Linked DNA regions of Oryzias latipes. The protein of the gene in region 1 binds, or shares a complex with, the protein of each later gene. Links are inferred from orthologs where the notes say so. Each region holds a gene or a part of one and is shown in the gene's direction. Other genes may lie near its edges.

What was found.
Region 2: mta2 (region 1) and cdk2ap1 share a complex: the UniProt entries of both Homo sapiens proteins name them as parts of the nucleosome remodeling and deacetylase (NuRD) repressor complex. The link is inferred for Oryzias latipes from reciprocal best matches to the Homo sapiens genes MTA2 and CDK2AP1.
Region 3: mta2 (region 1) and cdk2ap2 share a complex: the UniProt entries of both Homo sapiens proteins name them as parts of the nucleosome remodeling and deacetylase (NuRD) repressor complex. The link is inferred for Oryzias latipes from reciprocal best matches to the Homo sapiens genes MTA2 and CDK2AP2.

The regions. Positions count from the first base shown.
Region 1 is NC_019876.2:29,094,434-29,100,489, forward strand, and holds part of mta2 (metastasis-associated protein MTA2), read left to right. Parts: coding exon 1-145; intron 146-250; coding exon 251-340; intron 341-3,150; coding exon 3,151-3,269; intron 3,270-4,125; coding exon 4,126-4,268; intron 4,269-5,361; coding exon 5,362-5,512; 3' UTR 5,513-6,056. UniProt on the Homo sapiens protein: May function as a transcriptional coregulator. Acts as a component of the histone deacetylase NuRD complex which participates in the remodeling of chromatin.
Region 2 is NC_019870.2:2,596,129-2,603,379, forward strand, and holds cdk2ap1 (cyclin-dependent kinase 2-associated protein 1), read left to right. Parts: upstream 1-2,544; 5' UTR 2,545-2,722; coding exon 2,723-2,789; intron 2,790-4,729; coding exon 4,730-4,830; intron 4,831-5,618; coding exon 5,619-5,745; intron 5,746-5,809; coding exon 5,810-5,877; 3' UTR 5,878-6,450; downstream 6,451-7,251. UniProt on the Homo sapiens protein: Inhibitor of cyclin-dependent kinase CDK2. Also acts as a component of the histone deacetylase NuRD complex which participates in the remodeling of chromatin.
Region 3 is NC_019859.2:13,714,931-13,722,080, forward strand, and holds cdk2ap2 (cyclin-dependent kinase 2-associated protein 2), read left to right. Parts: upstream 1-2,411; 5' UTR 2,412-2,511; intron 2,512-3,815; 5' UTR 3,816-3,916; coding exon 3,917-3,971; intron 3,972-4,043; coding exon 4,044-4,135; intron 4,136-5,827; coding exon 5,828-5,948; intron 5,949-6,150; coding exon 6,151-6,218; 3' UTR 6,219-6,712; downstream 6,713-7,150. UniProt on the Homo sapiens protein: Acts as a component of the histone deacetylase NuRD complex which participates in the remodeling of chromatin.

The DNA.
Region 1 (6,056 bases):
CAAACGTTCATCCTTCAGACCACAAAGTTGACCCGCGTGGCGCGGCGTGTGTGCGAGGACATTCTGCAGCCGCGGCGTGCTGCCCGCCGCCCCTACGCCCCCATTAACGCAAACGCCGTCAAAGCTGAGTGTACGAGCCCATTAGGTCACGCAGTCTTTATTTAAATATTTAACACCTTTCCATACGTCAACACTGCCTAGACTCAAAGGGCAGGAGGAGGACTTTGACTGAAAGTTTGTTTTTCTTCAGGCATGATCCGGCTGCCCAAAGCCACAAAGACCCCTGCAAAGAGCAAGTCTGTACCTCGCCAGTCACTAGCCAACATAGTGAAAGAGTTAGGTAAGAACCTGTGACATCCAAATGTCTGCAATAAAAGCCTGATGGATTGATGAGATGCTCGCCTGAACAGTCTAGACCAGGATCACATGAATACTCATTGAAGGTCTGAAAGAGCAAAGTGGACATAAATGTACACAAGGACTCAATATTTACACCCAGAATAAAGTAAAAACTCATTTATTGTTTGACGACCATTTGTGTTTGTAAAGATATCGTTGGATTTCTCACTCAAACACTTTTTAAGCTAAACGCTATATCATCAGCAAATGCAGGAAAACACTTTTTACACAAGTGATGGACGGAAATCAAGCAAATGAGAACGATAGTATGTGTTTCTATGCTTTGTTGTGCTTCGTTGTGTTTCTGTGCTTTGTTGTGCTTCGTTGTGTTTCCGTGCATCGTTGTGTTTCTGTGCATCGTTGTGCTTCAGTGTGTTTCTATGCTTCATTGTGCTTCGTTGTGTTTCTGTGCTTCGTTGTGCTCTGTTGTGCTTCGTTGTGCTTCGTTGTGTTTCCGTGCTTCGTTGTGTTTCCGTGCTTCGTTGTACTCTGTTGTGCTTCGTTGTGTTTCCGTGCTTCGTTTTGTTTCCGTGCTTCGTTGTGTTTCCGTGCTTCGTTGTGTTTCCGTGCTTCGTTGTGTTGCCGTGCTTCGTTGTGTTGCCGTACTTCGTTGTATTTCTGTGCTGCGTTGTGTTTCTGTGCTGCGTTGTGTTTCCGTGCTTCGTTGTGTTTCCGTGCATCGTTGTGTTTCTGTGCTTCGTTGTGTTTCCGTGCTTCGTTGTGTTTCCGTGCTTCGTTGTGTTTCCGTGCTTCGTTGTGTTTCTGTGCTTCGTTTTGTTTCCGTGCTTCGTTGTGTTTCCGTGCTTCGTTGTGTTTCTGTGCTTCGTTGTGTTTTGTGTGATGCATTGTGTTTCTGTGCTGCATTGTGTTTCTGTGCTGCGTTGTGTTTCTGTGCTTCGTTGTGTTTCTGTGCTTCGTTGTGTTTCTGTGCTGCGTTGTGTTTCTGTGCTGCGTTGTGTTTCTGTGCTGCGTTGTCTTTCTGTGCTTCGTTGTGTTTGTATGCTTTGTTGTGCTTCATTGTGCTTCGTTGTGTTTCCTTGCTTCGTTGTGCTTCGTTGTGCTTCATTGTGCTTCGTTGTTTCTGTGCTTCGTTGTGTTTCTATGCTTTGTTGTGCTTCATTGTCTTTCCTTGCTTCGTTGTGCTTCGTTGTGTTTCCGTGCTTCGTTGTGTTTCCGTGCTTCGTTGTGTTTCCGTGCTTCGTTGTGTTTCCGTGCTTCGTTGTGTTTCCGTGCTTCGTTGTGTTTCCGTGCATCGTTGTGTTTCTGTGCATTGTTGTGCTTCAGTGTGTTTCTATGCTTCATTGTGCTTCGTTGTGTTTCTATGCTTCGTTGTGTTTCCGTTCTTCGTTGTGTTTCCGTGCATCGTTGTGTTTCCGTGCTTCGTCGTGTTTCCGTGCTTCGTCGTGTTTCCGTGCTTCGTTGTGTTTCCGTGCATCGTTGTGTTTCCGTGCTTCGTCGTGTTTCCGTGCTTCGTTGTGTTTCTATGCTTCGTTGTGTTTCCGTGCTTCGTTGTTTCCGTGCATCGTTGTGTTTCCGTGCATCGTTGTGTTTCCGTGCTTCGTCGTGTTTCCCTGCTTCGTTGTGTTTCCGTGCTTCGTCGTGTTTCCGTGCTTCGTCGTGTTTCCGTGCTTCGTTGTGTTTCCGTGCATCGTTGTTTCCGTGCTTCGTTGTGTTTCCGTGCTTCGTTGTGTTTCTATGCTTCGTTGTGTTTCCGTGCTTCGTTGTGTTTCCGTGCATCGTTGTGTTTCCGTGCTTCGTCGTGTTTCCGTGCTTCGTCGTGTTTCCGTGCTTCGTTGTGTTTCCGTGCTTCGTTGTGTTTCCGTGCATCGTTGTGTTTCCGTGCTTCGTCGTGTTTCCGTGCTTCGTTGTGTTTCCGTGCATCGTTGTGTTTCCGTGCTTCGTCGTGTTTCCGTGCATCGTCGTGTTTCCGTGCTTCGTTGTGTTTCCGTGCTTCGTTGTGTTTCCGTGCTTCGTTGTGTTTCCGTGCCTCGTTGTGTTTCCGTGCTTCGTTGTGTTTCTGTGCTTCGTTGTGTTTCTTTGCTTCGTTGTGCTCTGTTGTGCTTCGTTGTGCTTCGTTGTGTTTCCGTGCATCGTTGTGTTTCCGTGCTTCGTTGTGTTTCCGTGCTTCGTTGTGTTTCCGTGCATCGTTGTGTTTCCGTGCTTCGTCGTGTTTCCGTGCATCGTCGTGTTTCCGTGCTTCGTTGTGTTTCCGTGCTTCGTTGTGTTTCCGTGCTTCGTTGTGTTTCCGTGCATCGTTGTTTCCGTGCTTCGTTGTGTTTCCGTGCTTCGTTGTGTTTCCGTGCATCGTTGTGTTTCCGTGCTTCGTCGTGTTTCCGTGCATCGTTGTGTTTCCGTGCTTCGTTGTGTTTCCGTGCATCGTTGTGTTTCCGTGCTTCGTCGTGTTTCCGTGCATCGTTGTGTTTCCGTGCTTCGTTGTGTTTCCGTGCATCATTGTTTCTGTGCATCGTTGTGTTTCCGTGCTTCGTCGTGTTTCCGTGCATCGTTGTGTTTCCGTGCTTCGTTGTGTTTCCGTGCATCATTGTTTCCGTGCTTCGTTGTGTTTCCGTGCATCGTTGTGTTTCTGTGCATCGTTGTGCATCGTTGTGTTTCTGTGCATCGTTGTGCTTCATCGTTGACATTGTCATCCACGATCATGTGTTCGGTTTCCTTCTAGCTGTTCTGTCCTTTAGTCACAGCCTTTCTTTAATGGTGAACTGGAGTCACATTCTCTTCTTTTCTGTGTTCCTGCAGCCATTTCTGCTCCGCTGAAGCTGAAGGCGTCCAGAGGACCGCCAACGCCCATCAACAGGAACCAGGCCAGCCAGCCGCGAGTAGCCCAAAGCCTGCTGGGAAAGAGAGGCTTCGACAGCGTCAGTGCTCCTCCCACACACCACACTTTCTCTTTCCATTGAAAACATCCCTCAATGATTTCTGCAGAGATGGGTTTCTAACCTGTGATGTCACGTGTCAGGCAGCCATACTTATTATTTTCCACCATCATTTTCAAATAAATTCTTTATAAATCAGACAACTTGATTTTTCTGGGTTTTGTCTCTCATAGCTGAGGTTTACCTTTGATGAAAGTTACAGGCCTCCCAGTCTGTGGCTGACTGAATACTTTTTGCCCCACTGGCCATGAAACGGTGGTGGAAAGCCTCACATTTGGCTATGCCTCATGCTAAATTCTTGCACACAATTGTGTATAAACTACGTAAAAGACGCATAAACTGAATACTTCTCAACCGACCAAAAATTCTGAACAGCTAAAAACTGAATTCACGTAAAAACTGTCATCCACTAATGTGTGTCTTTCCACGTTTGTCTAACAGACTTTTCATGCATGAACCACTGATGTGTAACTTTTAGATCACGTATACGGCGCACAGATCACGTTCAGATGACATCATTGATGCATGAATCACTGATGAATTACAGAGAAACATCACAATAATCACACGGTTCATGTTCTACGTTGGTTTACTTGTTCTTAAAAAAAATTACATACAGTTATTATACAAAAAATGTTATTTATTGATAACTTTATAATTTTATTCTGATATTTGACTAAGATCTGAATCTAATCACATAAACCATCTGTACTTTTGGTCTGATAGTACAACAGGCAGTCAGTACTATAATAGTCTTCACCTGTACTTTCAATCCAAGAGTTTGGTAGAGCAGTAATGTAGTGGTCTGTAAAGGTTGTGTTGTGTTGTGGGGTTGCAGGCGGCGGGGGCGGCGTTCCCAGCCAACGGACGGCCGTACACATCAGGGATGAGAACCACCTCCCAGTCGGTCATCAAGCGGCAGAAGGTCAGCCAGGGTGAGGCTCCCAACCCCGTTGTGTTTGTCGCCACAAAGGACACCAGGTACGTCACTAGAGGAGCGTTGACTGTAGACAAGGATTCACAAATGTCACACAACACACTGCACACACAGGAACCCGAAAATCTTCTGTAGTGTTCCCTCGCTTTAGCTCGCCGTCCAGCTGTTTCACAAATCTGATCTGCATGTTTTGTGAAGTGTTCTTTCTTGTGGCGTGTGCATGTCCTCCTCCTCCTCCTCCTCCTCCTCCTCCTCCTCCTCCTCCTCCTCCTCCTCCTCCTCCTCCTCCTCCATACGGAAGCATTTCTGTAGCAGAATGAAAAATAAGTCCACACCAGAAATGCTTCCATAGGTTCCTGTGTGGGTTTTGGTGCTTCGTAGGTGATTTGGTGTCTGGAAAACGTCTCGTCGGTCCAGAGCGTACCCCACCCTCACCCATCAATAAGATGGGCTTCTGCGACCTCTTGACCCCAAAACTGTGCAGAATTCATTCCAAATCGATCTTTGTTTTCACTCTATAGTCCTGGACTAGTGTCTGAGAAAAGGGAATAAAATGTTTAGGGAGGAGTTTCACGGCCTTAAGACGACTGCTTCGTTTTTATGACGTCACCTCCGCTGTAAATGAGGGAACACTGTACGAAAGAGGACACTCCAGCACACTTATGGAACTCCAACCTAATATCATTTAAAGGTTAAAAAGAAAAACAAGTCAATTCATGGGGTTTTGTTGACCTTTTTACACTAGAATCCATCTCCCTGACAGACACACACTGGTAGTTGTTGAGTTTCTCCTCTGTTTACAACATTGCTGCTATAGAAATGAACACAACTCACAGTAAAGGATGATGACCCCCATCTACAGCAGAGCCTCAGCGTTTGCATCCTTTCCACCGTCGCTCACACGGTTACCGTAGTTCTGAGGCGTGGATGTGCCTCGCTTTATGAAAGCTGTGTCACTTTAGCTCGTATGTGAAAGGTCAGCTGATCCGTCGCGTAAACAAAGATTCCCGTTAGGTCAGAGAGGGCGATGCGGGGGCGACTTCTCTGCTGTTGGAGGGGTAGAGCGGGGGCGTTACCCAAAGCGGGGGTCAGGTTTGACACACGGCTGACGTACATGTGTGTGTGTTTCTCCATCAGGGCCCTCAGGAAGCACCTGACCCAGTCCGAAATGCGCAGAGCAGCCAGAAAGCCCCACCTCCTGGTCCGGATCAAGCTACCGCCGCCGCCGCCCCGCTCCGTGCCCCTGCTGCCCTCCAGCACCAGCGAGACTATCGTCCTGGAGGACTGAAGGGGGGCGGGTGGAGTTCCTGAGGGTGGGGGGGGCTGTGTTCACAATTGTCTTATTCCCCCTGATTTTAGTCCCGTTTTTATTCTTGACCCTTTATTCCATCCCTCAGTGAGACAGACTTTTCTAGCATACCTTTTCTCTGTCACGCACACACGCGTACGTAGATGCACGCCGACACGCCCCGCCGCCGGGGTTTGGGGCCGTTCGACGGCAGATCATCCTCCTTTTTTTATGTCCCCCGTTTTAATGTATAATTTAATGCAGAGTATCTTGTTTTGAAGCCACGGTGGGAGAGAACGCCGTCTTCACGCTTGGGTCTGACGCGGCGATGCCGGTCATGAGGCAGCAGGGGGGGGGGCATCAGATGTTTCCCTTCAGTATTTCAGCGGTTCGGACCCCAGACCACATCCAGACCCACAGACCCGTTTCACATACGTCTCTCGTCTTTGCAGCTTCCTTTACGTGGAAGCTTTGAAAACGTCAGAATAGCGCCTAGAAAAGAGATTTAGCAGAACGGAGTCGATGTTTTTTAGTGCGCACAGCA
Region 2 (7,251 bases), on another chromosome or scaffold:
ACCCCCTCCCTCCCCCCGCCGTCCTGGAGGGTCAGGGGCACCGTGCAGAGAGTTCTGTTCCTGACCTCCAGATGCCCCCGTTCTCCTGTTGGAGGTTCCGACGGCGTTCTGACATTCAGAGCGCCACGGATTTGTGGTTCCAGTTTCTGTTCAGTCCAGACCGGGGCGGGGACTAATCCAGAACTACTGCGAGTAAACGCTCCGTTACAATCCATGGCGAGATGTGAACCCGCCTACCTGACAGGAAGTTACTTCTCCCCGCTGCAGTAAAGGTCCCTGGAACTGACCTGCTTCTCCATAAACGCCCAAACATAACCGCCATCTGGTTCCTCCCGCAGAACGTCTCCGTTTTCAGTCCGGGCTTTAGTTTGTGTTTGGGGAGGACAGCGGCGGTCCGTGGAACGTGCCTTGGTCTCCGTCTGTTCAGGGTTTTCGTAGTTCTGTCAGGATCCCTGAGGCGGCGCCGCGGCAGACATTTAAGGGCATTTTGTGTTAAAGCCGTCATTCAATGAAGACTTAAAGATGGAAGCGTGTTCTAGTGACGGAGATTCTCTCCAAAAATGTATATTTGACTTTGTTTCTGTATATTTTTGGTCCGTTTCTGTTCCTTCTCGAGAGTTTCCTCCGCTTTCAGGACGCCGCACTCCGTGACCCTTCACCCCCCCACCCCCAGGCTTTTATTTTGTCATCGTTTGGCCGATCCGAGGTTCCGAGCAATCGCCTAGAGGTGTGCAGAACTCGGGTCGTTGCTTTAGTTTGGACCTGCTCGGGGTTCCGTCAGTACAAAGACCCAGAATCCCTCCCTGTGGCGTGCATGTTCAGCTGGCGTCCTCACACGGCTTCAGCGCTAACGTGTGGCGCCCATCGTGTCATCAGATTTGCACTGGAATGGCGAGCCTGAAGGGGGTGTGTGTGTGTGTGTGGGGGGGTCTATTCGGCGCCTTATTAAAATGCAACCTCAACCTGTGGATGAGCAACCTCTGCTTTACTGACGTCTGGATTATTTGTACATTTTGAAGTCGTCTGTTGGAACTTGAATGTGCACCTTGGTGGACAGCGGCACGGATGGCGGAGCGTTGAGGGTCTCGCTGTGTTCAACGGGAACAGCGCCGCTGCTCGCCATGCACTACTGACGGGACGTGTATATGAACGAGTGCAATGCTCAATAAAGCTCCATTTACGTCTAGCTTTGGTGCTTCAGTGAAGCTGCTGTTTGTCAAGAAAAAGTCGATGTTTAGACGACTTCAGTTAAATTTCTGTGAGCAAAACTGGAAGAAATCTAAAAGAAAAATGTTTGATTTTTTTTTTGATTTTCTGTCACTGTTTTTATTTTAGCAATGAGATTTTGTAAAAACTCATTATTTTGTGCTCTAATTTAATTGATTTATCTAAAATTATTACATAAAATACACTAAAAGGCTGGGAAGTAAAAGTAGATTTAAACAATGTGATGTTGGATATAAAGCGGTATTTAAATTTGAAATTATTTTTGACATCTGACACAAACTTTCAGTAAATTTAAGGCTTATTTTTATCCTAAATGAAGATATTTGACCTAAATTAGGTTAAACTTAAGTTACAGAATAAACTTAAGACAAACACAATGTTAATCACTAAAAATAAAATATTTTTTAAAGATTTCTTTAAAAATAAAATATTTTTTAAAGATTTCTTTTTTATTTGAGCAATGAATAAGAATTAACCTGAGGAAATGTACTTATTTTAAAGTATTTTTGTTTACTTTTACATTGTAAAAAAAAAAAAAATTGACCAAAATTTGGTTACTAAAATATGTAAAAGAAAAAAATAAAATGCAAAATATCAAAAACTCTAATTTTATATAGGTTTTAATGTAATTTTTAAATAAATTAGAAATTAAATATTTTTCCAAGCTTTTATTCATTTGTGCAATAAATTTAAATATTTCAAGTAAACTTTCAAAACATTTTAAAATCTTACTTTTATTCACTTTAACATCATACGAAACATAAAATTTGTCTTAAATAGTGATATTTAAAAAAACATGAAAAGGATGATGGGAAATGTTTAATTTTTTTTAATATTTCCCAGCAAGTTAACATTGGATTATTTAACAGATGATTAAAATAAAAGTCAAAAACTACATTTTTTTTTTTCTTCTGGAAACATTTCTGAATGGCGAAGATGTGGGGGACCCAGCCGGTACCGGGGGGCCACCATGTGGGCAGCGGGGCCTGATGGGATATAAAGACTGGTGTGGGTTCTGGGGGGGAGGGGGTTCTGGTTCCCCAGACCAAAGCAGGTACCAGTCCCCCTTATTTCCCTGCAAGCAATTCCAAACCCGCGCGTGCACCAAACGCGTGGTGGATTTATTTAAGTTCATTCATCAAAACTTCCAAAAAAAAAAAGTGTAAAACAAAAACTAAGAAGGTTTGAGTTTAAAACCTTCAAGTGGTTTTAATCTTGAAACCTTAAAAAAAAAAAAAATATTTTTTTTTTTTTTTGGAGCAAACTTTGGGTTAAATGTCACATAAGCGCGCGCGCGACGCCGCGCGCGTGCGCTAGATGTGTAAAAAGATGTTTAAAAAGTGGTTTTGTGCCGCGCGGATGGCAGCGGCTCTGGAAACCCAGTGGGTGTCAATATAAAGTGACGGCCATATTTGCCGGTGCCGCTGTTGTAAACAAAAAGTGAGAGACAGACGCTTCACTGAATTTCGGGTCATTTTTATTTCTTTAATTTACAATGTCTTTGGGAATGTCTTACAAACCCAACGTCCATCAGCACATTCCGGGAACTTCAGGGAACCAGGGTAAGAGCAAAACGGCGGTCAAAAGCCAACTACCCGCCCGCTACATCGAGCGTTAAATTCGGGGTCTCGGAGAATACCTGGAGAAAGACTGTGTCTGTAGTTTTTGTCCAGTTATATATATAGGGTCAGATCCTGGGAGCTAGGCTAATTCATATCCGCCATTATTACTAATGTAAAAGGGCGCCATCCGCGGGTCGAGTCGGCGCGGAAACACGGCGGGGATGAGAAACGAGCGCGCGGCGCTTCCGAAAACGGGGTTCCCCGCCGTCCGGGGTCGCGGTCCCGCCCGGCGGGTGCCGTTACACGGTGACAAAAATGTATCGGTTATGTCTTCTTGAGCCAGCCTTGTTCCGTTTCCTCCATGATGCTCCTCGGTCGGAGCTGCTCGATTGATCCGCCTCGGAGGAGTTTCTGCCTCTTCGAGGACACCTGCCGGTCGGGGCCGATACTGCAGGCGCAGGAGGCAGGCTGGAGTTCATGGAGCCAAAAAACAACAAAGAAAACCTTTAATTTAGTGATACATCGTGGAAAATACTGAATTGTTTTCATTATTTTTTTCATTTAACAATTTCACACCTATTAATTAGTATTCAGATTTTTTAATGACTAATTCACTCTTATTTAGCAACAACTTAATTTTATTTCCTGATTTTAGAGTCAGAATGATGCACTTTTCATACTATTGTATTGATATATACAGTAATGCATGAACCAGTGACAATATCTGTAATTATTCATTCGTCTTTTGTCTTCACATTCTAAATCCATAAACATTATCAAACATTACATGATCAGTGTGTCCTGCAGCAGTCTGGGACACACTTTTGTGGTTTGAAATCTGGCGATTTCCTTATTTTCCCTCAAAATGGGAAAATAAACTTTTAGCTCAAGCGATCCTCACCAGGTTTCCCTGCTAGCTTCAGTCTACAACCAAAGTTTCGTTGACCTTTGAAGGGGCTTAAATAAAAATAAAAAATCGCCGTCTACAAATTTAAAGTCCTCCTGGGGATTTTGATCTATCGTTACTCATCATTTTGAACCTACATGGGGGGAAAAATGTTGGTTTTTAAAGTTTAAAGATTTGGAACGGTGTTGGCGGGGCGAGCTCGCAAAACTGGCGTTCCCCTGTTGGTCGCGCATTTCTTACCAGAATATTGTGGAAATTGAATACATTAATTCCTTGCGTCAAGCTGAATGAAACAATATGATATACAATAAAACCACATTAGGAATGGGGGCGTGGTTAATGATAAACCTCCGTTGCCAAGGAAATCCAAAAGTTTACTTTTGCCAATTTTTCTACAAATTACATCGACGGATTCGCCACCCCCAGGGGACCAAAAAAGGAAATGGTTGCTATGGAGATAAAACCAGCATGAAAGCCGCCATTTTTAAAATAGTTTGTCTTCATTAATGAGTTGAGCTTCATTTTAAAGACGGATGGTGTGGAGGTCATGTGGTCAAGTCTTTTGCATTTATCAGAGCCTAAAAGTTAAAAATAATCATAAAAATTCATCTGTGATCATTTTTTGGATGTCCGTACTTTCTAAAATGACTAGCGGATGTTTTTTTTTTCTCTCATTTTACCAAGTAAACCAAAGTTTCTGTTTCTACAAAGGTAATATTTCTCTAAAATCCTCATCCATCGTCAGCAAATGCAGGGACGGCTTTCAGCCTCGCTGTTCCGTAAACGGCTTTTTGGGGTTTTGACGCACACGTGTGAGGAAACCAAACTACAGATGTGTGTTTATGATTCTGCTGCGTTTAGGACTAAAATAATTCAAATCAAACAAAATATTTGATAGAAAGCTCTGAATCGGTTGTTTTTGTGTCACCAATGTCAGACAAACGGGCTCCATGTTTGGTATATTTTAGCAGTGAAAGAACAGAAGTACAGTCTTCTTGTATCATCTTTCATGATGCGGATGTTTTGCCTGCAGTTGGGAACCTTCAGTCGGCCTCGGCGGCTAACCTGGCCACGTTGCAGTCCTACAGACCCCTGCTGAGCGACTACGGACCTCCATCTCTGGGATTCTCACAGGTGAGCTCCGCCTTTAGACGCCGCAGAAACATCTTCTTCTTCCCAACCCTCGTCAGAGGTGTGGCGAGTCTTTCAGGGTTTCTGTTGGCGCTCGTGGAAACGCGGTGGCGGCGGCTCTACCGCTGACTGTACCTGAGACCTGGGCTGAGTGTGACCACATCCATCGACAATGGTTCAATTCTCCATTTTTTATTTTTTTGTAGTGAGTCCTTGTTTCTGTGGCAACCACCCTCACCAATCAGGGGTGGAGCTTATCCGAAGGCCACACCCCTACCACCTGAAAACCTGTCAATCGTTTTGGACATAGGGGCCGCCAGGCTCCACCTACTTTAGTTGAGGCCTCAATAATAAAAAGCAGATGTTAAAGCGCAGAAAACACCTGTTTCCGCACGTGTTTCACGCTGGTTTCCGTTAAGCTAACGTCCTTGTCTGATGAAGAACGGTTCTGCGTCTGGATCTTTGACAAACCGCTGGTTTCCACTTGTTTTCTCCTGGCCAATATTCAAACGGTACCATTAAAGTTTGAAAGTTGGTAAATAAAAACACCAGAGAACTCTGAGATGGTTGTTTGGGGCTCCCAGGAAATGCGTGCATCTTATTTTGAAAGTCCCGATAAAACGGGTCGTTCAGCTGTTATTCACAACTGCCCTCACGGGCGGATAAGGGCAACGAAGGTCTCACCTGTACGGTGACCCGCCCCAAATATCAAAGGCCAAAGATCAAAGCTGCAGCTTTTATTTTGTTATCAGAAGAGAACTTCCTTTGTTGTTGTTTTTTCTAAACTCCAGGGCTCCACCGGCAGTCAAGTGCCTCAGAACAAATATGCAGAGCTGCTCGCCATCATCGAAGAACTCGGGAAGGAAATCAGGCCCACGTATGCTGGAAGCAAGAGCGCCATGGAGAGGCTGAAACGAGGTATGTCCCGCTTTGAACGCTTTCCTTTGGGTTTCAGCCGAATAAACCCCATCCCTCTGGGCAGGAATAATCCACGCCAGAGGACTGGTGCGGGAATGCTTGGCGGAGACGGAGAGGAACGCCAGGTCCTAGCCGCAGACGCGCCTTCCCCCTCCGAGAAGAACCACACGTCACCCAAAAGCAAACGGAAAAATCAACCTGCATGGCATTTTTCTCGGTTGGGAGGAAGTCGATGAAGAAAAGGCGGAGAGGCAAACTCCTAGAGATAAAGGGCGACGATAAGAGAAACGAGCAGCAACAACCTGAACGCCTCCCAACGGCTGTCAATCATGTCTGAGTTGTTTGTGAAACAAAAGAAAAGGTCGACATTCAACTTCACTGATCTTAGTTTTCCATTTCCCTTCAAAATCCTTCTTTTTGCATGCAAACGGGCCCATCGGTTAACTGTAGACTATGCATGACATGTACAAAACTAGATCAGGTTTTCTTATTTGATTTTATTTTTTAGTGTTTTTATTTTCCTCTTTTCATGGCGTTCGGTCTGTTTTGACCTTTTGCAACTCACGGCGGAGGGAAGGATGTGCCAAATGCATTTCTTTCATCCATCTTTCAGTTGGTTTTAAGTGGAGACACAGAAAATGGAAAATGCTGTTACTTGCATCTTTGTATGTATTTATTACCCTGTGTAATAAATTGTATTTTCAATACAGTTGTCATGGTGATTCTTTGTTTGTTTTCTTTTGGCTCAAAGGGGCAGAAAATAATAAAAAAAATATAAATGTATAAACATTTAAAGCAAATAGACAAAATAAATATTTACAAACTTCAGTTATGGGGAGGGCTGCGTATTTTACTCAGCTTTTTCACTAAATTAGATGGTTTTTTTCATGCCTGTGTAAATTATAATCTAGGATTATTAAATGTAAAAAAGACTCAGATGCTTCCTTGAAGGGTATATTTTATGTAGATGAAAAAAAAAACTTTAAGTAAAATCAACAGAAATAAAAATTTCAATATCATCACCAGGGGCCTCATTTATAAACGTCGCGTACGCACAAAAGAAGGCGTACGCCACTCTCTACGCAATAGTTGAGATTTATAAAAAGCAAACTTGACGGGAAAATGTGCGGTCCTTCACGCAAGCTCTGACCCAGGCGTACGCACAAAAACGGGTGAAATGAGAAACGGCGACACCGTCGGCAGATGGAAGAAACACGTGAAAGTGAAAATGACAATACTGCCTCTCATAAATAACATGAAGACTTCACAAAGCAAGTCTTACAGTTATCAGCCTACACCAACACCCGTTTGATCGATCAGCAGTGAAACAAACAAAAAAATCAAACGAAAATTACAACAGAAATTCAAATGAACACTTATTTGCAGAAAGAAAAGTGAAATATGTTCTGCAATATTGGCATGTTGTGCAATTCATCCTCATAAATAATATAGTTAACAGAACGAAATAATGTACAAAACTGATATTCCCGTCAATGTGTCCGTCTG
Region 3 (7,150 bases), on another chromosome or scaffold:
AAGTGAATCATTTTTCCATGACAAGAGGTCTTCTGTCAAATTTCTGACACATTTCGGTGAAGAAACACTTATATTTTTTCACCTTCTAGTTTTGAGCGTCAGCCTTTCAATGCCGCACATAGCTTGTGCTCCGATTTCTGGTCATGATTATTCTTGGAAACATTATAATTGTGACCACCAGAGTTCTGCTGAAAAGCTGTTTAGAGAAGTGGAATGGCAAGTGTGTCCTCAATTTATCATGTGTTTGTTTTTTGTTAACAAACAATATAAAATATGCATATAAAAAGAATGAAGTGCGTTTAACTAAAAAAAGAGTAGTAAATTAAAAAAATGATGCAACAAGACTTCCATTACTACCAACAGCTTGCTCATTACTGTTATGAACAGGGTTGATAGTCACTTCTGTTATTTTTTGTGCCATGCAGTTTCCGTGTGGCTTTTTTGCCTTGAGAAACATAAAAATTGTAGCCATGGCAGTGATCTTTGCTCATACTCAGTACACGGTCTTTGTGCTCAGCACCCACCAGCTCTAGATTTGAAGAAAAAAATACAAACTTGCACAGCACTTTGCAGGCAATTAAGGAAACAGGAACTGTAAAAAGATTTCAATAAAAATGTGAAAAAAATGTGAAAAAATGAGAATTCCATTTCTTACTAGAGCAGTTTGGTTGTTTTTTCTTTTTTTACATATTATCGTGATTTACCAACAACAACTGCTTCTAGTCTTTATGGAGCTTTTCTTTAACAACTTGTAAGATTATGCAACAGAGTGGGAGAATACATGCAGGTTGAGGCTCATGTTTTATTTCTAATAAGTTTTAGACAGACATAGTTACAAACAGTTCAGAAATTTAGATTTATGACATTTGGCGTTATTTTTTCTTACCCTGGTTAATACAAAAATTGTCATCGGAGTTTAATCATGTTTTCAATTATTTAATGAACCCTTTCACATTGATTTTTAACTCCTTAATTTAAGGCAAGAATGGTTAATAACATTGTATTGATTATCCCCAGCAGATGATGTCTGAGAATGTGTAATGTTAAGAAACAAAAGCCCTATTTTTTAATTCTGCAGCAAATCCTTTACCAGCTAATAGAGAAAATAATAGATGTCACATAAAAAATATTGTGGATTAAATGCCTAAAGAGATATGTCTATGGTTATGTTATGGTTATTTTCACTGAACCAAAGGAGACCAAATTGACTGCAAATACACTGATGGATTCACAAAAACACCACAGCACCATCTACTGACGCAATGTAGCAACATCAAATGAACAGTAAAAGTAGTATAATAGATTGGTTTTCAACAAAAGACAGGGAGATATTTGTTAATCAGATCACTCGCAAAAACAAAAAATGATAACATAGAAACCAGCGTAGTATAGGAAACAATTCAACAATTGGGCCGACAACCAACAGAATCTTTTGCTGCTGTCATTTTTCGCATAGATGATCTTTGGAAAACAAATCAGTAGATTATATCTTTTACTTTGACACATGGAAGGCCTTAAAACAGAGAAATATATAATGTGACTGGAAAAATAAGATTGTTTTTTTTCTTAAAGGGATTAACCATTTTTTTCCCAACAGAGCAGCTGACAGCAGTAATTAAAAAAATGATTAACAGCATGACTCTGACATTATGTATGCCACAGTGCAGTGAAGGCATTTCTTGTAAATTATCCATTGCTTAAAAATATTCCTCTTCTTTAAAAAAATAATCAATTCTGATCTTTCTGTAAGAGCTTAAAGCACAACCTTCTGTTTGGAAATCAGCATTCAAGTAAGTAATCTGATATCAACTGTAGGCCATTCAACAACATAATGAATCAGCAACACATTTTTATACTTCCAAAAGGCTTTTTAAATCCATAAGTGGAGAAACATAACTTTACCGGTAATAGTTTTTTTTTTTTTTTTTTTTTTTTTTTTTTTGCAAAACAAAATAAAATTAATTTGAATTTGAATTTGAAAACAAAAAGAAAGCTTTAAAAAGCAAATTTTCCTTGAATTCTTGGAAATCGATGAAAAATCTCAGTTGGAATAATCCTGATTGCATCCTTGCATTAAACCTGTTTTGAAATGATAAAAACACATTAGTTCTTTTATATTTGGTTTGATCCTAAGAATTTTTTAAAACAAGCACGAAATTTACCATTTTATTTTGGCATAATAATATCACATTTATAAAATACTACTACTACTACTACTACTACTACTACTACTACTACTACTACTACTACTACTACTACTACTACTACTAATAATAATAATAATAATAATAATAATAATAATAATAATAATAATAATAATAATAATAATAATAAACTATTACACTGTTTAACACATAAAATTATTTGGGAAGATTAACCAATCACAAAGCTGTGATGGTTGAGGAAAAAATAGTAAAATAGTCTAGCGGGGGTTTAATAATGCGCATGCTCACACACAGAGGCGGAGCTAAGGTTCACGTCATACCTAAGATTGCTGCTCTCAGTAAAAAGGTAAATTAACAACAATAACAGTTTTGGGGCTACTTTTATCCCCTCTGTACGTCTTTAGTGGCTTCTGTGTTTTCTTTATTTGTGGTTCAGGAAGTATACATTAACAGCTTAACTGTTAACTTATTTATTTTTTAAAGATTGTACCCAGGTTATTTTGCTAACCGGCAATAGCTAGCTAATCCGGCTAACGTTATCTAGTAGTAGTTAGCTGGGCACCTTCGTCTAAGCTAACGTTGGCTTTTTGTTACCTCAGTCACCTCCTGCTCCGTTCGTACATTCTGTACTTCCTTTACTTAGAAAACGTTCTTTTTTGATACATCCTGGTACATTTTGACTTGGGGCTTTAAAGATAGTTTATGAATTAAATTGTAACGCGTGGAATAAAATAATCGTGATTTCAAATGAATTATGACTATGCGTTAGTGTGGTAATGATTAGGAACTACTTTTAAAACATATTTAAAGTTTATTTTTTTTAAACGAATTAGTCTAATTTTTTATGTGGAATATTTATTTTTCCGACCGACTCAATTTAAGTGAAAGCTTAATTTAAAATGAAAAGGAAATGTTATTCGATCCTCAATTAATGTTTGATGAATTATATTGCTGTGTTACTGTTATCCATGCCACAATAGTTGTAAAACTAAGAAAACCACACGATTTTATAGAAAACAACTAACGCTGTAGGTCTGACATATTAACTCGTTCTATCAATAATCCGGTTGCCAGTTTGTAGAATATTGATTTTGATTAAAAAAATTGTTGGAACAAATGAAAAGTTGGTGCTTTGCTTCCTGTTAAAATAGATTTGCAGTTTCACTTTTTTCATCACGTGGTTTCCCAGAGCTAGACTGGTTGTGAGGAGGGGGGGGGGGGGGTGTCAGTATTTAGTCTTAAACTACTTTCATGCAGTGCTTTAAAGAAGCATAAAATACTCACTACTATGCTATTTAGACTCGACTGTTGTTAGTGGACTGTTAATAAAGCACTATACTTGGAAACATCTCTGTTGTTCAGATGCAGTTTATATGCATGTTTGTAGTATTGGTGACTTTTTGTTTGGTTGTCTGCTGGTGTAGCCCATCTGCTTCTAGTCTTCTGTTTGTGTTAACATGACATGGAATTGATTTACCGGTAGTCATGTTTCCATTAACGCTTCAGCTCATGTCATCTATTATACTTTATTACAACATTCTGTACGAGTAGATCACTTTCTAAATGTGAAAAATGTCTTCAAAAATTTTGGAATGAACAGAAAATAAAATCCCATTGTTGTTACAGTGTGTGCTTTTCCGCTTTGTTTAGCTCTCAGGAGCTCACCATCACCAGTGAAGCTGTATAAGCATCGGGTTGACGGGATTGAGGAAAGCAGCGCGTTGTATGTGGAGCTGCCTGTTGAAATCGCCATGAGTTACAAACCTATTGCTCCTGCGCCGTCTGGGTCCAATCACACTCCACCAGGTAACCTGTGGTCCGGGTTGAACCTATGATGATCAACCTGTTGGTTTCCACTAAGTTGTTTTTTTTCTTCAGGCTCTTCGGTCCCCTCGCCGTCTCTACCCTCGTCATCCAACTTCAGGCCAGTCTTCAGTGACTTTGGTCCCCCATCTATGGGCTTTGTTCAGGTTAGTGTCTTGCGCTTTCAAACTCATAAACAATTTTTCATTTTAATTATGTTTCATATGCAATCAAAAGAATACTTTTAACCCCTGTGCTATCCTATGGGTTCAAAATGACCATTGACATGTCATCCCTACCATGACAAAGGTGGATAAAGGTGGAAAGATTTCATGTAATCCATGGACACCAGTGAAGATCACAAATCATTGAAGAAAAATGGTTCAGCGCACTGTCTAGTGGGTCTAGATGACCCAACTCCCAATGTCAAATTGTCTAGGATAGCACAAGGGTTAAAAGAAATAGGGACTTGCAATGTTGGATGTGTTGTTGATTTGATGACAGCACTGCATATCTAAATGTTCCTGGTTATCTTCCTGCAGCATCCAGGAGCTCAAACTGAGTAACTGTATTGCAAGGAAATTTTGTTGTTGTGAAGAATTGCGTTCCTTTCTTGAAGTGCTTACTGTCTTCTAAATATAATGTGAACAAATAGAGTTTTTGTTTTGTAAATACAAGGTGATTTGATCAGGCAACGCTGTATGATATTAATTCATTCATTTAAGGATTTAAAAGAATTTTTTTATTTTATAAGTAAATTATTACCGGTACTTCATTTCATTCATATGATTTTATAAATGTAAAAGCTTTGTCCTAATTTAGGCTCTTCTTTGGTAAACAGTTGCACTGATAGTTTAAAGAATCATTTTAAATGTGATTGTAAAAGGCTAGCAAAGAACTTTTGAAAATGTGCACCGTTAAAACACTTTCTTTTTTTTTTTTTTTTTGAAAAAGGGAAATCAAAAGTTGTTTTTAATAATTCTGATTCAAGAAGACTATTTAAAAGGACCGTTGACTTTGTGATTATTGATGCGATTAAAAAAAAAAGTGAGAAGTGTATTCTCAGAATTGTTATTAAATGAAGCATCTTGTGGTGTTGTGCACACACTTGGTTTGCTTAAAGGGAACCAGAGTTTGTTTATTAATTCAGCGTACCTTCTTAGCTGCCGTCTCATCAGTAAATGCCCTGCAGCGTGCTTCAGCCAGACCAAAGCAGCAAGAAAGGGTAAAAGTACCTGACGTTGATATAGACATTCAAAATTGGTCAGCAAAGTATAATGTTTAAATATGTGAGCTATCCTGACAATGTTTGCAAAGCTTAGGACTTCCATAATTTCTGCCTCTTGTTGCTTTGCCCCGCCCTCATAATTCCTGAAGAGATCCTCAGTTGTGCGCTTTTGTTGACAAGCTTTGGTATGAAACAGAAATGTCTGGTTGAAGGGCAAACGCAAGGTTTAGGACTCGATCTGGATCAAATTAAACAGGCAGTCTGGACCAACTGACTTTTCCAGTTTGAATACATCCTTTATTTGATCCCAAGTGCTTCTAGTTTAACACATCTCTGTTTCTGTATGTAGAGGTTTACTTCCTTTTGCAACAAGTTATTTTTGTTTTACTTTGGTCAAGGGAATGTGTCTCCCTGGTTAATAAATGTATCCTCCTTATCTGAACCGACATCATTTAGGTTGTATAACGGTTTCAAACCTACAAGAAAGTTAGAATCACTTCATTGCATGTCGTCGTGGATATTATGTCAGCAGAAAGTCACCCTTTCAACATTACTATATGAATTATTCTGTTAGTGTACATCATGTGCATTTTATTATTCTTTAAAACTTCCCATTTCTGAAAATCCTCAGCCTGTCAAAGTGTCCCAGGGGTCCACCTACAGCGAGCTCCTGTCCGTCATCGAGGAGATGAGCCGCGAGATCAGGCCGACATATGCTGGGAGCAAGAGTGCAATGGAAAGGCTAAAGAGAGGTACTTTCTTTGTGACCAACATTATTCTGCTCCATGCAGGTACCAGTTATCATTTCTGATTAGTTGTTTTTTTTTTCCTCTCTCTTGATGTTCTACTATAACAGACATATTCTCTTTTCAGATTTGTAGGGGTGTTTTTTGTAAATATGTGCTTCCTATCATTTCAAATTTGTGAATTAAAATCCCGACTCCTCTCTTGCAGGTATCATCCACGCTCGTGCACTCGTCAGGGAATGTCTTGCAGAAACTGAGAGAAGCGCCCGCACATAACCTCTATGAAAGCTCCCTTCATCCCAGCCCTCACCCTTAGAGTCCTGCCCTCATCATGACCTCTTTGGATATTTTGCCACCAGTCTTCTTCCTCCCACCTTTGCTTTGTTTTTATTTTATTTTATAGGTAATTGTCTATTTTGGGTTTCAATTTAACTGCTTTGATTTCATAGTTACATTACTGTAACATGCAAAGTCGATGCAAAAAAAGATTCTATTTTAAGAGTTTTGAACTCGAGTACACTTAATTTAAAACATACAATTGTTGTTTTATAATAGCAGCTGAATTTCTACACAGATGGGGGTTTTTTTTTGGGTGGGGAGATTAACATTTTTAAATGCTGTCATTTCAATTTAACCTGGCTTTGTCACATTTTGTGAAGTAGGCACATACCATTTCTTTACATCTCAAGTCAATTTGTTACTACGGAAATTTTTTAAATTAGAATTTTGCATTTGGGTATGTATATCTTAAATAAATAACATGAAAAGAATGAGTGCGTTCATTCTTTTTTTTTATACCTTTTTGTATTTTAATGGGAAAAAAAGTATTAAAATGCATTGAGTTAATGTTTATTTCTGTTAGAATATATGTGATTATAGTAAACGAGGACACCAGAAGGTTTGAGATTAACAAATGTATTTTTTGTAACATTTATAGCCACAGTAGGATTTTACTTCTGATAAGCTAACAACCCACATGCAGTTTAAAAAGTGCCGGGCTTTCTGCTGAATACATCTTGACAAAAACAAAAAAATAATTATATTTATACAACCATTAAGTACTTAGCTGTAGGGAATATAATAAAACACAAGCTTGTTCAATTTAACGATTGTCAGTGATCAGGGTAAATGTGTGCAAGTGAGTACATAAGAAAACATGACTTAAGAAGGGAGACTGTAAAATTATATTCCACTTCCATTATAACTAC